Linked DNA regions of Nothobranchius furzeri. The protein of the gene in region 1 purifies or fractionates together with the protein of each later gene. This does not show direct contact. Links are inferred from orthologs where the notes say so. Each region holds a gene or a part of one and is shown in the gene's direction. Other genes may lie near its edges.

Region 1 (4,663 bases):
TGCTTTGAACTGGCGTTAAAGATGACATGGGCATAGTTTTATACTTCGGATGTTTTGGTTTATGGTCGAATGAAAAGATGACAGATTTACCAAGCACCACCAAACCCACGCCTCCGTCAGGTCTGTCAGAATCTGATTGGATCAGTAAAAGCAGTGTTATGTCTTAACGCTACGTGAGATCAGTCCTAGTGGAAACATTTAAAGTCATATTACTTATTATATTCTATAGGATTATAATAAAGTAATTAATATTTTGATTTCACGGATTGGTCACATCTTATTGACGAACACTGATTAGCTTATTAAAAATAGAGTTCTTTGATATATTAAAGAGAGTCCAAGAAGCTCTTGGGCTGGAAAGGAAGCAGTTTATAGCAAATGCATGAGACCTTGAGGCCATATATCATGCAGACTAGTTCTGTGTCAGAGGAGAGGGGGAATGACTTGGTGGAAAACAGTCATTTCATTCCGTTACATCTGTAATTCCTGCTCTATAATTTATCCAAATAATATTCTTACTGATGAAATTTAAAAAGATAATGAAGAGGTACAAATTATGTTTAAGTAATAATTAATATTCATAATAACTGCACTAGTAGGAATTTAGCATCTTAATTCATGATGATGTCCTGACCAGTTGTCAACAGTTAAACCTTTTTGTGTTTTTACAGAAACTCAAAAAAGGCTATTAGGCAAATATTACTAAATGTGTGAAACACTGAAAAAACCTTTTTAATGATTATTTCTGATCATAATCAGTCACTGAGTTTTTCATGCAGGCTGAACATGAAAATAGTCTCCTACACCTATCTTCTGCATTATCTATTGATAGAAAATAGACAGTGAAACTGTTAAAATCAGATCTACATCACACTGTCGCCTAACATTCATGGACTCGCCCATCTTGACTCATGACGTGGAAGGCTGTTTTAGCATCCAGGAAACTGGAGAGAATGTCTCAACTAGTAGAAGCTAACTGTTAGCATTACCAACTCCACTACACAGCAGAACTCCTCCAGGCTTGTGTTATTTGTGGAGATGGAACAACATTGCAAATCAATTGCAGGGTAAACTTTTCTAAACAAAATCTCTGAAAAGGAACAAAATATTTTTCAAGTGTTCAGAACATTTATAGAATGTAATCATGCCTTTATCAATAATGTATAAGATGTGTGTGTGATTTATGTAAATACAGACGTGAAATCAGTTCGTGTAAAATAATCGTGTAATCATGAAACTGATTATTTCTTTGACTACAATCATGCCACCAAAATTTATAATTGTTGACTCCCAAATGCCAATACGGCAACCCGATGACATCCTAATAAGCAAATTGGATGAGTGCATTTGCTCTCTGTACAAACTTTGGGTCCTACTGAAGATTTCTCATTGACAGTTTACCTTTATCTCTTACCATTTTCAAGCTACAACCCCCTGAAAAGGTCCTGTCAAAATTTAATATTTTCTTGAAAAAACTGGCACCCAAAAGGTTATTTTGAATTTTTTGCTTATCATTTGTCTTTTCTTGCACCAAGTACTGCAGCAATTTCCTAATGTTGTGATTCTCGCACAAATGACAATAAAACCCTTCTGGTTCTGATTCTAACCGCTTACAGTCAGACGCACCGGAGCTGTAACATGCAGACTCCAGACCAGATTCCAGTTCTGGTTTGTGACTGTTGCAGCCTATGCCTGACGCTGTTGTCTGTGGAGTACTCCTGACATATTTTGTTCCTTTTAGGACCCTGAGCAGCTGCAGGAAAATGCCAACCAGATCCTGACGGCCATCATCCAGGGCATGAGGAAGGAGGAACCCAGTAACAATGTGAAGCTAGCTGCTACCAATGCCCTGCTCAACTCACTGGAGTTCACCAAAGCCAACTTTGACAAGGAGGTGAGGGTCTGATGTAATAGTTGGAGTTCCCTAGTCAGGGATGTAGTTCTGATCTGCATTTGTGAATAAATGATGATGTTTGTGTTTTCAGACGGAGAGGCACTTCATCATGCAGGTGGTTTGTGAAGCCACCCAGTGTCCTGACACCAGAGTGAGTACCATGAGAACTGAATCTCTTGCTGTGAGCTGGATCGTGTTTATAGGTCTTATCCTGATCCGTCCTGTCGTCTATGATGCATGCAGGTCCGCGTGGCAGCTCTGCAGAACCTGGTGAAGATTATGTCTCTGTATTATCAGTACATGGAGACATACATGGGGCCTGCTCTGTTTGCGGTAATAAACTCACTCAATATTTGGTTCTATAGAACAAAACTTGTGGTTTTGCTTTGATTAGTTGGGACAGAAGAACACTTGAGTGTAGTTTAAGGCAAAAGTTATGAATCTGAGGTCGTTTCTTTGGGCCAAAGAGTTTAAAGTCCTGTCCTGATTTTCATCAGTCTTGGTGAGCAACAGCGTTCCACTTGGGTGATGTTCTGGTTCATCGTTTATTTATTCAGAAGACAATAGGTGTAAACAGGGATAATTCCTCGCCAGGAACAGGGCAGGGTCATAAGCCTGGACATTTCCAGTTTAATGATCTGCTGCTGCACAAAGTTCAGTAGAGCTGAATCTCTAATTTCGGTTGTTTTCCAACATGTTTTTTAAATTTTGTTTCAGATCACTATTGAGGCGATGAAGAGCGACATTGATGAGGTGGCTCTGCAGGGTATTGAGTTCTGGTCCAACGTCTGTGACGAGGAGATGGACCTGGCCATTGAGGCCTCAGAGGTCTGTTTCCAGTTTGAGGACTCGTTTCAGATGTGTAGCGCTGCGTTCACTGACTGCTCGTTTCTCCTCTTGCCCATCAGGCCTCGGAGCAGGGGCGCCCCCCCGAGCACACTAGTAAATTCTATGCTAAAGGGGCACTTCAGTACCTGGTCCCCATCCTGACTCAGACCTTGACCAAGCAGGTGCTGACCTTTCACTTCTCTGTGTGCTCCTGCTAGTTTTGTGACTTCACTGTGGTTTATGAGAAATTAAATTTTTTCAAACTCTGCAGGATGAGAACGATGACGACGATGACTGGAACCCCTGCAAGGCTGCAGGTGTGTGTCTGATGCTGCTGGCCACCTGCTGCGAGGACGACGTGGTTCCTCACGTTCTGCCCTTCATCAAAGAGAACATCAAACACCCCGACTGGCGCTACCGTGACGCCTCCGTCATGGCCTTTGGCTCAATCCTGGAGGGACCCGACCTGAACCAGCTCAAGCCCCTCGTCATTCAGGTGCAGACCTAAAGCTCTAGACCAGGGGTTGGCAACCTGTTCCCATCAAAGAACCATTATTACCCGTTTCCCACAGTAAAGAAAACACTGGGAGCCACAGCAGCCGCGGCGTTGTGGGCGGGGCCTACCCTCAGACAGCAGAGAGCTGCTCACAACAGGTGACGGCAGCCGGTACCGGTCGCTAGTGTACGTCAAAGTTATCTTTCATAAGATAATCAATAAAACAATTTATATAAAGTGGATCCAGAAGTTGTAGCCCGTCTCTGCCTACAATATTTAGATATTTTTCACCCTGTTGGTGGTTTTACTGAGCAGGTGCCACTTTTGTCGTACGTTTCTTTTTAAAACATGTTTAGACTGTTCAGAATACAAATCCAGGCTCTGTCACGTTTGATTGTTGTAATTAAGCTTTGTAGGTGGGGAAGGTCAGAAAAGGATCCGATCATTTTGTTTTTCCCTCATTTACAGTGGCAGAGATAACGGCGCAGTGTGCCTGGTGTTGATCAAGTTTAATTTGTAACAATTTTCACAAGAAAACCGTTAAAATCAGGGCTTGTGTTGGCCAGACAGTTCCCGTATTTGACCGTTTATTTTGACGGAGAAAGAATAGAAAGAATTACCCCGACGCATGCAGACGAACTGACATTTTATTCTACGCACATCGCAGATGTAGCTAAATCACTCAAGAAACGATTCCCATCTGAACATCTGAGCTGGACACCGCTCAGCGCAGCTCACTGTCAGCATGTACTACATAAGGTCCACAGCGAGCTGAAGATGTGGAGAGGGGCTTGGAGCACGTCGCAGAACCAGAGCGCATGCGGGAAGGTTCCTCCCACTGAAGCGAGACTTGTCACTTAGAAAATGTTCCCTGATTATGAAACTTTGGCTGAATAGCGCTTGTTCCTGTGTCCAATGTGGCGACACATCCAGGAGCCGTCTGAGGAGAATCCCAGAATCTCACATCCTCTTCAGCTCAGGAAGCGCCGATATGATTACGCACAAGCATGACGCGTCAACCCGGTCTCACAGTAAGACCGGGTTGGACCTGTTCAGGTTTACGCAGACAATCTTTACATTTAGAATTGGCATACAGATGTAAAATGTATGCAGTAAAATATAAAGCTTTTCATTTAAATATCCATTCATTATTTTACAAGCACAGAGAGCCGCATCAGATGGATGGAGGAGCCGCGGGTTGCCGACCCCCGACATATACCTTCAGTTTTTGTGAGTGAATTCTGATCATGCTCTCCTCTCCAATCAGGCCATGCCGACCCTGATTGAGCTGATGAAGGACCCCAGTGTGGTGGTGAGAGACACCACTGCCTGGACGGTGGGGCGGATCTGTGAGCTGCTACCAGAAGCAGCCATCAATGAGGTCTATCTGGCCCCCCTGCTACAGTGTCTGATTGAGGGTCTAGGGGCGGAGCCGAGGGTGGCCT
Region 2 (5,334 bases), on another chromosome or scaffold:
CAGCACTTTACTTGGAAATTGAAAGAAAAGTGTAAAAAATAAGTCAAGAGTGTCCAAGGATACGGGCAAAAGAGGAGTAAATGCAATTTTTAAAGCCATGTGTTCAGAGCGCTGACAATCAGAAAAGGGATGAGGCCCGCGGTGCACTATTGGAGTTGTGACATGACTTGCTGTGCTCTTGCTTTTTTTGCTTTGTCCTTCTCTAGCTTGCTTCGATCTATGCTAGCTTGCTTTCCCCAGAACAGAAGGACGTGGATATAATGAATGTGTGTTACTGCAACAAGAACGGACTAAAATCTTGGTGCTTCATGAACAGTCACCCCATGTTGACACGGGCCACATCTGTCATGCAAGAGTGGGCCAGTCTTGGCCTGAAGTCTGAACTCCTACCTAACTTGATAATGGACGTCAGTGCACAAGCTGACAAAAGGATCCGATCATGCAACTGTAAACTCCGATCACTGTATTGTTCTTCACAATCAGCAGGGCCTGGCCCCGGAAATCCTGGATGTTGTTTCTGCTTTCTAAAAGAATAAAATGTTAAAATGTTCATGCGCCTTCTGGCTCAAGCATGAATACTATATAATGGAAATGCAAGATGCCACTTTTGATGTTACATAAGAATCTTATCTTTCATTCCTACCATCATCTCTGCCATTATCAGTTTTAAGTTATGTAGTCGCAGAGGAGTACCTGATTTGTTTAAATGCAAAACAGAAAATTCAGCTTTCTAATAAAAGTCCTTACTTCACCTATACTGTAGTGGGTGGCTATTCCTTTTGTCTTCATTTCTTGGGGTTCCCAAAGGGGTACTGATTCAAAAAAGAATCATGCATAGGAGAAATAAAAGTTTCTGCAACTTGTAAAGTGCTTATACACAAGTACAAACTTTCCTGCAAGTGTATGTTAACAAAAGTCAGTATAACTTTATTAGACATTTAAAAAGTTTTTACCTAATTGTTTTTGTTCCCCTGAGTAGATTTCATGTCAAAAGTTAGTTATAAAAGATTTTTAAGTATTCTCAACTATTTTCATTAAAGTCAGGGAGACCAGTTGGAAAATAAAAACTTGGATATAAAAATACAACTTTAAGAATGTGAATAGTCTGATTTAAATGTTGTTTAGCATTTTTTTTAGTATGTCACTTTTATTGCATCATAACTATCCATGTTTAAAATATTTAAAACGTTTTACTTCATTAAGAACCATACGTCATACATTAGGTTGGCTAAGGCAAAGAGTAATAGCAGAAAAATAAATAAAAAGCTAAATGCTTCTTGAGTCAGTACCATAAATGCAACAATCAAAGGGGCTTAGAGCAATGCCAGCACAAAAAATGTAAACGTTTAAATTCATATATCACATTTTTAAGGTTTTTATGACACTTGTACTCTTCTATGGGAAATAAACAGGAATAAATTATGATTATAGAACTTGGATTTATGAATAAGAAACTATGCTAATTTGTACATTTATGATATGAAAACAATATATATTAACATCCTGACATACTATTTGTAAACAGACAAGACATTTTCCCGGCAAATATGATCAGAAACAAGATGCAAAAATCAGCTCTAAACACGTTTTGTTTTTATTCGGATCCAAGAGACTGGTGGGCCATCTCAGTTAGCTCTGGCATCTACTCGTCATCCTTATTTATTTATTAACTGCAAAAGGACACTCTAGCATCCACTAGTCATCCTATTTTATTTTCACACACAAAACGGCGCGGCGAGTTCAGTTGATGTAGCTCGCTCGAACTTTGACTTACATCTACGCTTTGAAGGAATAAATTAAAGCAAAACCTCATCCGGAGAATCAGAAGTTTCTGTTCGAAATGAGTGACGATACAGACTCCCCTCCTGAGAGGGAGATGAAGGTATTTACGCGGCTAGCATGTGGAAAGCTACGGCGTTGGTTAGCTTAGTAGCTTATAAGCAGCTAGCTAACTGATTGTAAAGTTATTTTGGTTTAGATTACTATAACCCCTTGTTTTTTACTGACTTAGACCATGCACATTGATAAAATGCCGAGTGATGAAAACGGAGAACTGATTACAATTTTCTCTCAAGTCCGTCAAAAGAAATTATTTTATATTCGTTTCAGTCTACGTATGTTAGCACCGCAATGTTATGCTAACGGTAACAGAGATGTCATTCAGGTCTTTTATGACAACAAATGACATCGTTTGATATTACGGTTACGTTGCACGACTATTACAATTTATTTTAGGCTATTTTATAATTAAGAATAAATACATTAAAGAAATAGTATATAAGTTGCTTTAAACGCTTGTTGTTGTCTATTTGTATGCAAATACTTTAATCAGTGCTTCCAAAAGCATAGGGAGCACCTTATATCATATAATATTGAAACAGTTTAAGGTTTGTTTTTAGAGATTTATACTCTTTAGTGAATCTCACAGGTAGGAGCAAACATGTAAACTGTACTTGAATGTATTTTAGGTGCACTATGAATGACACCCAAGATTATTATTTTTTGTTAACTCCATTTTCATTCAACTTTAGATTTTATACAAATGGACAGAAGTACAAAATACTCTAAAAAGCCACTTTAGCAAATTTAATGCAGTAACAAACCTCATTGCCAATATATTAGCACTGATATACAACTAAGAACATAGATCAAATGTAAAGTACCCAAATGTACTTAATGCAATTTTACATTTTTTTATTAAAATGTAGGAAATTGCACCTAATCGCCATTGTTATGGCAGTCATAACATTGCTAAAAGATTTGATAATGTGTGTAATTTTGTGTGCAATATCTACTTAATTGTAATGTGACACGTCAGCATTTTTACAGCTTTTTCACTGCTAGTCATTTGAAGATATCTAAACATTTTCAAATTTCAAGCGGACTGTTTTTATACTCTACTAGGGCTGTCGCGGTAACCGCAAAAATGAAATATCGCAATATGAAGAAGCCCACCGCGCTGCATCATGGACCACCGCGATTACTGAACTTGGTTCAACTCAATGATGCATGTTGAGAAGGATGGCTGCACTGGTATCAAAACGAAACGTTACTTCGCTCCTTTGGGAGCACTTTGGTTTTCAGTACGTCAGCTGCTGCACAGCCAGAGTCCTTGGCCGAGACAGAGCTGCCACCAGCGGCAAAAAAATAATAATAAACGCTCGGAGACCTGCTGAAGTCCCGGACAAGCACTGCTTCTGCAACCGTCCTGAAGAGAGTTTGAGCCGAGCTGGAGCTCACTCGCTACCTGCAGGAGGAATGCATCCACCCTAAAGAAACCCCCCTGACATGGTGGAGCAACAACCGGGAGACATTCCCTTTGCTCGGCAGAGTCGCACGCAAGTACGTGTGCGTTAGTGCAACGAACGCACCATCCGAGAGGGTTTTCAGTGTTGCTGGAAATGTTGCCACCCCTCTCAGATCCTCTCTCAAACCGTATATGGTTAACATGCTTGGTTTTCCTTGTAGGTAACAAGGACGTGACCGAGCTATAAATCACCGTCATTCGTGTGTGTGAAAGTGAAATGATAGTGCGCCCGCCCCCCGGCGCGCGCGCGCCCGGTACATGTAATTTTTTATGCTTGATTTTAAACAACTAAACAAAATGGGGACTTGTTTCTTATTTGTTAGATGCTGCAGCCAAATTTGCATTTAAAAGTTTAACCTCCTGAATTTTGTTGTTTTTAAGTTCAGTTGGACTCCGACTGTCGGAGAAACAAACGTTACTGCGATCTGTGTTGTTACTGCCCTTTGATCTGCATTCAGTAAAGCGTTATTGAAGAAGGCACGGCAATTTTTAACCTTTTTTAAATGTGTAAACATTATGTTTAGATAGTACTGCAATAAAAAAAGGGCTGCAATAATATCGCACACCGCAATATTAAGCCACCCTGAATCACCGCAGGGGGAATTCCTCAACCGCGACAGCCCTATACTCTACATAGTTTAAGAAGTTTGAGAAAATCAGCTTTCAAGCACTTAAGACAAGTTAGATAGCATCTCAGAGATGATGTTTGAATTATTTCTCCTTTGGTAGAATTAGAACTTCAACACTGACCCCACGTTGCACAACCAAACTGTAAACTTAAAGAGGTCCTTCACTAAGAAACAATTTTTACTTATTTTTTTAAATCAGTCACTCAGAGTTTAACATGCAGACTGAACGTGAAAATAGTGTCCTATTTTTTATATATCTCCTTCATTAGCTTCTGATAGAAATAGTGAAAGTCTAGAAAATAGTGAAAGTCTAGGACAGGGGTATTCAATTCCGGGCCTGGGGGGCTGGCATCTAACACGTTTTAGTTGTTTCACTGCTCCAATATACTTAATTCAATGGTTGAATCACATGTGCTGAAGCTCATCAGGCTCTGCAAATACCTGTTAATTATATGCTGATTGAAATCGGGTGTGTTGGAACGGGGTTAAACCTGCCGGATATCGGCCCTCCAGGCCCGGAATTGAATACCCCTGCTCTAGGATTTGAAAAGCCTGACAGCTCTACGTCACACTGTCGCTTACCATTCATGGATTCACCCATCTTGACTTGCAATGGGGAAGGCTGTTGTTGATTTAGTGTCCAGGAAACAGCAGAGAACATCTCAACTAGTAGAAGCTAAGTGTTAGCATTAGCAACTCCACAACAAAGCAGAACTCCTTCAGGCTTGAGTTAATTGTTGGGAATAAATATCAATGCTGCAGAGCAAACTTGAGTCAGTGGTAGCAGTGTTTCCCCTAGGAATTTTTCCAGCTGTGGTGGTGTTGGCGGGGGTGGGGGGTGGGGGTGGGGGGTTATGACACGTCTCACCTTTATGTTAATATTGTTTTATTTGATGCACTCCACTTTGAACTGCACCAATCCAGCAACTGCTACATTGTAATAACTAGTATTAAAGGTGAATACACCAGTATTTGCACAATAATAATTTCAGTTTTAAACTCTCAGTGACACACTTTGCAGGGTGGATTTGGCATTTAATTTTTCTTGGCGTCTGGAAAAACATCTTCTTTTGCCCCCTTTATTTGACTTTCTGCCCCCTTTATTTTGGTCCAAGATCATTACTGGGCTGGCCCTAATAAAAACGTTCTACACCCCTGCTTAGTAGACTTAATGGAGTATTTTTAAGCCAGTATAAAAATGACTGAAACACAAATTTACATATTTGGCATTATTGACCAATATTTTTGATTTAATTTATTTGTTAAGAACAATGCATTACAGTGAACCTTATAATAAGCTGGGCGGACACTGTGCGACTTTTTCACTCGTAACACAGCTTCAGCTCAAACTGTACGACTTCAGCGCAGGGTAGATCTCACGAGTCATGTGCTCACTGT
Region 3 (5,248 bases), on another chromosome or scaffold:
ACTGGTGCGATAAATCCAATGTAACTTGAAAAACATTACTACTGTTGTTTGTAGGTCACTGCATTCAGTAAGGATTTATTTGTGTATATATTTCATATCTATCTTTCTTTTTTTTTCTTAAAACTTGTTTGTTTTATCTGGGAGTTGATTTTTCCAAGTCATATTTTCCACCATGTCATTCATACATTTCATAAATGTCCCATTTCTCAACTAAATATGTAGTTAAAAAGCTAACTGTTTTAAATTATTTTAAAAACTAAATATTTAGTAGGATAAACATTTTGTTTATTTTTCATTCATCATTCATTCGTTTTCTTTATTCTCATAATTCTGACTTTTTAACTTCTGAAAAAAAAAGTGAAATTCACTTTCACCTTCTTTTTTCTTTAACTTTTCAGGGGCGCCAATCCTTTTTTGTATATGTCTGACCTAAATATCTATTTTTTAGCTTAATATTTAGTTAGTAAATTAAATATTTAGTTTGGAGCTAAATATTTAGTTAGTAAATTATTTAAAATACCTGACCTAAATATTTATTTTGAGAAATACATATTTAAGTATGACCTAAATACTTAGCTTGGTGCTAAATATAATTTTAGTAAATTAAACATTTACTTAGAAAATAAATACTTATGTCTGATCTAAATATTTAGTTTCCAAATGAAAAATTTGTAAAATAAATGTTTACCTCATTTTAAATATTTAGCTTGTTAGCTGAAAACTAAGCCTTTTAAAAATGTATGAATGACATGACTTTTTAAAATTAACTCTCAGTTGCTCCCTTTTATGACAGTCGACATAATCCAAGTACTGCTGTTACATTGCGACAGTTTGGCACCCCATAGAACATTAATCTGTACACCTAAAGCTAACTCACCTGTTATCCAGCTCTCCTTTATGCCCGGGCTCTTCTGCATCACCAACAATCACATCACTGGTTACTTCTGAAGGGACCAAAAATACTGATTATTATGGGATGTAACAGTAGTGAAGCCTATTATAAAAGAACAAACCAGAAACTATTTCAACAAGTAAAACAAAAACATTTTAAGAGGAAATTTAAGGTACATATAATATGTTTACCACAATAACATCAATGAGGTAACCCTTACTTAGACACATGATGGAGTCCAGACGTTCTACTTCTCCACAGACGCTAAAGGAGTCTCCCAGGACAGTGTTGCACTGCTGACAGTGAAAAGTCAGCGCTTGTCTGTCATCTGCATCCGTGGTAATGACCATATTGTTGAGTCGTTTATTTAAGACGCTGTCGTCAAATTCCATGTCACCCAGAGAACCAGAACCACCAACGGACGATTTTAAGTTTTGTTCTTCTAATTTCCGCGCGCTGAAGTTAGCTTGGCACATTACTGCCACCGCGGTGTGGGTTTAGACACAACACCAAGACACATATACGCAAGAAAATGAGAAACATTAACACAACAAAGCTGTAATTTTAAACTTTTAACAATATGCTAAAATAATAACTATTAATCACCAGTTTAACAAAAAAAAAGGATAGATTTAAGTAGAGGCGTTTGACCATCTTGGTTTTGATTGGCTATGGGGCACATCTGGTTAAAAATAAGAGCCAATCAAATCGCTCTCACGGTCTTGTTTTGAATAGGAAGGAGTTTTAACCGTCGGGGCGCGAATGAGAAGCAGAAGAAGAAAGAAAACGGAGACATCGTGATTTTATAAAGCATAGTAAACCACCGTAGTAACATGGATTTGGACTCCATGAAATATGCGGATTTGCGAAGTCTTGCGAAGGAGCTTGGGCTGAAAGCAAACGGGAAGGTAAGGAAGTTACTTTTACGTGTCTTTAGCGTAACGGTAGAGGACTGTTAGCTAACATCGGCTAAATCAATCACGTTTTATTTACTCATACGCAGGCTGATAAACTCCTGAAAGCTATAAAAGAGCATTACCACGAAGAGAAGAACGCAGACGTGCAGGTAGGTAACTGCTGCTGCAGTATTATTTTAAAAGTATTGTTTTAATGTAAATTGAATGTCTGCGTATCGTTGTGTTTCTGCCCCAGGGTCGATGCAGTGTTGGTGTCCCTGAACACAAAAGTGTAGCAGAAGACAGCGCTGTCCCTGTCTTTGTAAACACACGTCGGGGTAAAGGAAACCGCTCCAAGAGAAGGCTTTCTGACACTTCCAGTGTGTGTGGTGCTAAGACTCCCAGTGCTGCAGAGGTCTGACGTCATTAAAAAGGCCACTGGTTGTGTTTAACAGCACGTAACCGTCTGTAACCCTACCAGGTGTAAGACTGTTTGTCTTTTCAGGGTGGTGACAAGCCAAGTGTCTGCAGCACCCCCACTTCACAGGGTAGCAAGAAAAGAAAGCTGTCCTGTCATGGAGAACCTCAAACTACTGAGACTGACCAGCAGCACCCTGATACTAAAGAGGAGAAAACGGCTCAATCAACAGGTTTGAGAGCTTCTTCAAACCTGCGACTAGATTTATTTTTGCTTTGAGAAGCAGTTTGACTCATAAAATCATATTTGTTCAGGAAAAGTACCAAAAGTGGTGAAACCTGGCAAAATTCCCCGCTACAGAGGCTCCCAGCAGATGAACAAGACTCTGTTGAAGCCCACCACACCTAGTGAGTTTGCTTTATTTCCTTTCTCCAGACTTGCGTAAACACGGTCAGCATATTTAATCCTTGAATTTGTTTTACTGTTTGTCAATTTTATCTCTAAATTAGATTTTAAGAAAATCCATGAGGCGCAGTTCAACAAAATGGAGTCCATTGACACCTATGTTCAGCGCAAAACAAAGCAGATGGAGACCACCAGATCTTCAGCCAAAGATCTGAAGGTATTAAGTCTTCCTAACATCAGAACAAATGTTTAAGTTGGTCTTTCTACATTGTTTTCCATCCTAATCTGAAGTCAAAGCTGGACACGTTTCAGAGCTTATGTGTGGGTTTGTGTTTGACAGAACACGACTCGTGCCTCCATGTTCAGCCCAGCCCAGCTCAATAAGAGACCAGCTGCAGAAAAGCCCAGACACACTTTGCTGCCAGTCAGTAAAGCTCTTCAAAACAAACGTGCTGGGAAAGACGACCTTCCATTCAGACCGTCTGTTATTTCTACGCGTAGGATCAATGTTCGGTGCGTCTTCTGTCGATCATTGCTACAGTCATTGTTATAGCAAACACAGATAAGTGTGTTTCATGTGACGCTCTACCAACTTGTTCAGATTCTCAGAAGCTACATGTGACAACGAGTTTAAGAGGTCTTTGGTGAAGACCCCGGCACGCATGTCGCTCCAGAGACCTTCCAGCACCCCTCAAAGCCAGACCACCAAAGCAAAGAAGCCACATGTTGTCATTACGTCTACTTTGTCTCCCCAAAAAACTTCAGGTACTCATCGCCACCATTTGGGATAATTTAAATTTGATGTGTTAACTAGAGGCCTTACCGACATGTTTTTTTTTTTAGGCCGATAGATTTACAAAGAATTTTGATGCCGATGGCTGATATCTAAAACCGATTATTAAGGTTTATATATGTGATTTGGCAGCATATTGCTTGTGAAAGACAACCTAACGCTCACTGTGTGCAATATAAATTAAATAAGTCAATAAATCTCTTAATATTTATTGAACTTCAAATATTAAACAAACTCAAAACATTTTTATTTTTTTTAAAGCAGTGTGTTGGGGGTCGTTCGGGTTCTCTCTTCAGTCTAGTAGTAGCGGCGGTAGGCCACACAGGTGCCTGATTTTAAAAAATGTTTTTATTGGCTTTTAAAAATAATTTCGGCCGATATAGAAAAAATTTTATATATCTGTCAGCCTCTAGTGCGAACATGCAAAATAAATCTAACCAATCTGGTTTGTCTCCATTAAAGAACTGTTTGTTTTTACTGGTGACGTCTCAACCACACCCGGAACACAAAAGAAGCCGACCTTTGATCTGAAGGCCAGTCTGTCGCGTCCGCTCAACTACAAACCCCACAAAGGTGCGGAACTGTCCTCAAAGACCGTAAGTTGTGTTGTTCTGAGACACTGATGCTTCCTTCCTTTTTTGCAGGCAAACTGAAGCCATTTGGAGATGCTAAAGAAAATGCATCTGCAAACAAATCTCTGATCTCCAATTCGCGTCAGGAAAGTTACAAACAACACAAGGTGCAGTCCAGGTGAGCCTGAGAGAAATTCTCATCACAACAATCTGCCTGTAAAGCGCCTCCTGAGGCTGATCCGTGTCGTGTTTACAGGGACGACCGGAGGGCAATACTAGCAGAGGACCGGAAGCAGAAGAAAACAAAACTGCTCGGAGCGAGGAGAGGCCTGGTCATGGAATAGAAACGCTTTTGCATTTTTCTCAAGCTTCCTGTTCTCATGTAAATAATTTAGACATCCGTGCTCTCCTGAGCCAGTTGTAAGAACATGGATTCAGTCTGCTTTACTCAGCTTGTAGATTTGTTTGTTTATAATAATCATTTTTATCCTTTTGTAGTAAAAACTTTTACTTATTGTTTTCCATTTTGAGATGAATATTTGGATTAAAATGGTGACCTAAAAGATTTGTTGTGCTTTAATAAAATGTCTCTTGAATGCTTTTATTATTGCTTTTACAATAAAACAACAAAAAACTCTCACATGGAAATCACTTTGCTGTTTTACTGAGAGAAGTCATTTAAACTAAACGGGAAAATTAAGAAGCAGCAAGAGTGTCTGTTTAACTTGTAAAAGATCAACAGCAACAACCGTTTGATCCCCTTAACCGATTTGTGTTTTAAAATTGACCAGAAATGCAAAAAAAAAAAAAAGTGAAGACGAGGAATTTCCACACATCTGTATTTAATTGGCTGCTTAACGGTTTAAACGCTGCGTTGTGGTGGCCCCTAAGCTGTTGGGTTCCTCTTGTACATCTCGTAAGCGAAGTCCTCTGTGTGAGCGTAATCTTTGCAGACGCCAATAAAATCAATCTCAAGCTGAAAAGGGCCGTCTGCTTTGTCTCCCAGGGTGAACCCGATGGTATTAATCTGAAAATATAAGCCAAAGTCTAAATAAATCTCAGAAAGACAATTATATTCAATATGCCAGCTGCAGGTCATGGTACATGAAGTACAGTTCTCGTGTGTGTCCGTTATTTTCTTGTCTTTGGTATTTTGTTGTGATTTTATGATACCTTGTCCAGCCACAGAGGATGCTGTTGGTCGTGTATCCTCCCTCGATGTGTGATGAAGAACTTGGAGAAGGGTATCTGCCAAAAATAAAAAGTGTTAGT

The links.
Region 2: the proteins of kpnb1 (region 1) and nup214 purify together in Homo sapiens (affinity purification with mass spectrometry; 3 studies listed by BioGRID and IntAct, with this or other methods). This does not show direct contact. The link is inferred for Nothobranchius furzeri from reciprocal best matches to the Homo sapiens genes KPNB1 and NUP214.
Region 3: the proteins of kpnb1 (region 1) and nusap1 purify together in Homo sapiens (affinity purification with mass spectrometry; 3 studies listed by BioGRID and IntAct, counting the BioPlex papers as one, with this or other methods). This does not show direct contact. The link is inferred for Nothobranchius furzeri from reciprocal best matches to the Homo sapiens genes KPNB1 and NUSAP1.

Annotation. Positions count from the first base shown.
Region 1 is NC_091745.1:29,728,075-29,732,737, reverse strand, and holds part of kpnb1 (importin subunit beta-1), read left to right. Parts: intron 1-1,741; coding exon 1,742-1,894; intron 1,895-1,985; coding exon 1,986-2,045; intron 2,046-2,137; coding exon 2,138-2,227; intron 2,228-2,611; coding exon 2,612-2,722; intron 2,723-2,802; coding exon 2,803-2,904; intron 2,905-2,993; coding exon 2,994-3,218; intron 3,219-4,485; coding exon 4,486-4,663.
Region 2 is NC_091746.1:57,168,456-57,173,789, forward strand, and holds the start of nup214 (nuclear pore complex protein Nup214), read left to right. Parts: upstream 1-1,698; 5' UTR 1,699-1,840; coding exon 1,841-1,882; intron 1,883-5,334. UniProt on the Homo sapiens protein: Part of the nuclear pore complex. Has a critical role in nucleocytoplasmic transport.
Region 3 is NC_091758.1:19,032,228-19,037,475, reverse strand, and holds nusap1 (nucleolar and spindle-associated protein 1), read left to right. Parts: upstream 1-1,612; 5' UTR 1,613-1,725; coding exon 1,726-1,800; intron 1,801-1,895; coding exon 1,896-1,958; intron 1,959-2,044; coding exon 2,045-2,203; intron 2,204-2,293; coding exon 2,294-2,438; intron 2,439-2,520; coding exon 2,521-2,613; intron 2,614-2,715; coding exon 2,716-2,828; intron 2,829-2,951; coding exon 2,952-3,124; intron 3,125-3,212; coding exon 3,213-3,376; intron 3,377-3,866; coding exon 3,867-3,977; intron 3,978-4,048; coding exon 4,049-4,154; intron 4,155-4,232; coding exon 4,233-4,320; 3' UTR 4,321-4,542; downstream 4,543-5,248. Other genes in the region: oip5 (protein Mis18-beta), read right to left, coding at 878-944, 1,113-1,368; ndufaf1 (complex I intermediate-associated protein 30, mitochondrial), read right to left, coding at 4,863-5,003, 5,150-5,224. UniProt on the Homo sapiens protein: Microtubule-associated protein with the capacity to bundle and stabilize microtubules. May associate with chromosomes and promote the organization of mitotic spindle microtubules around them.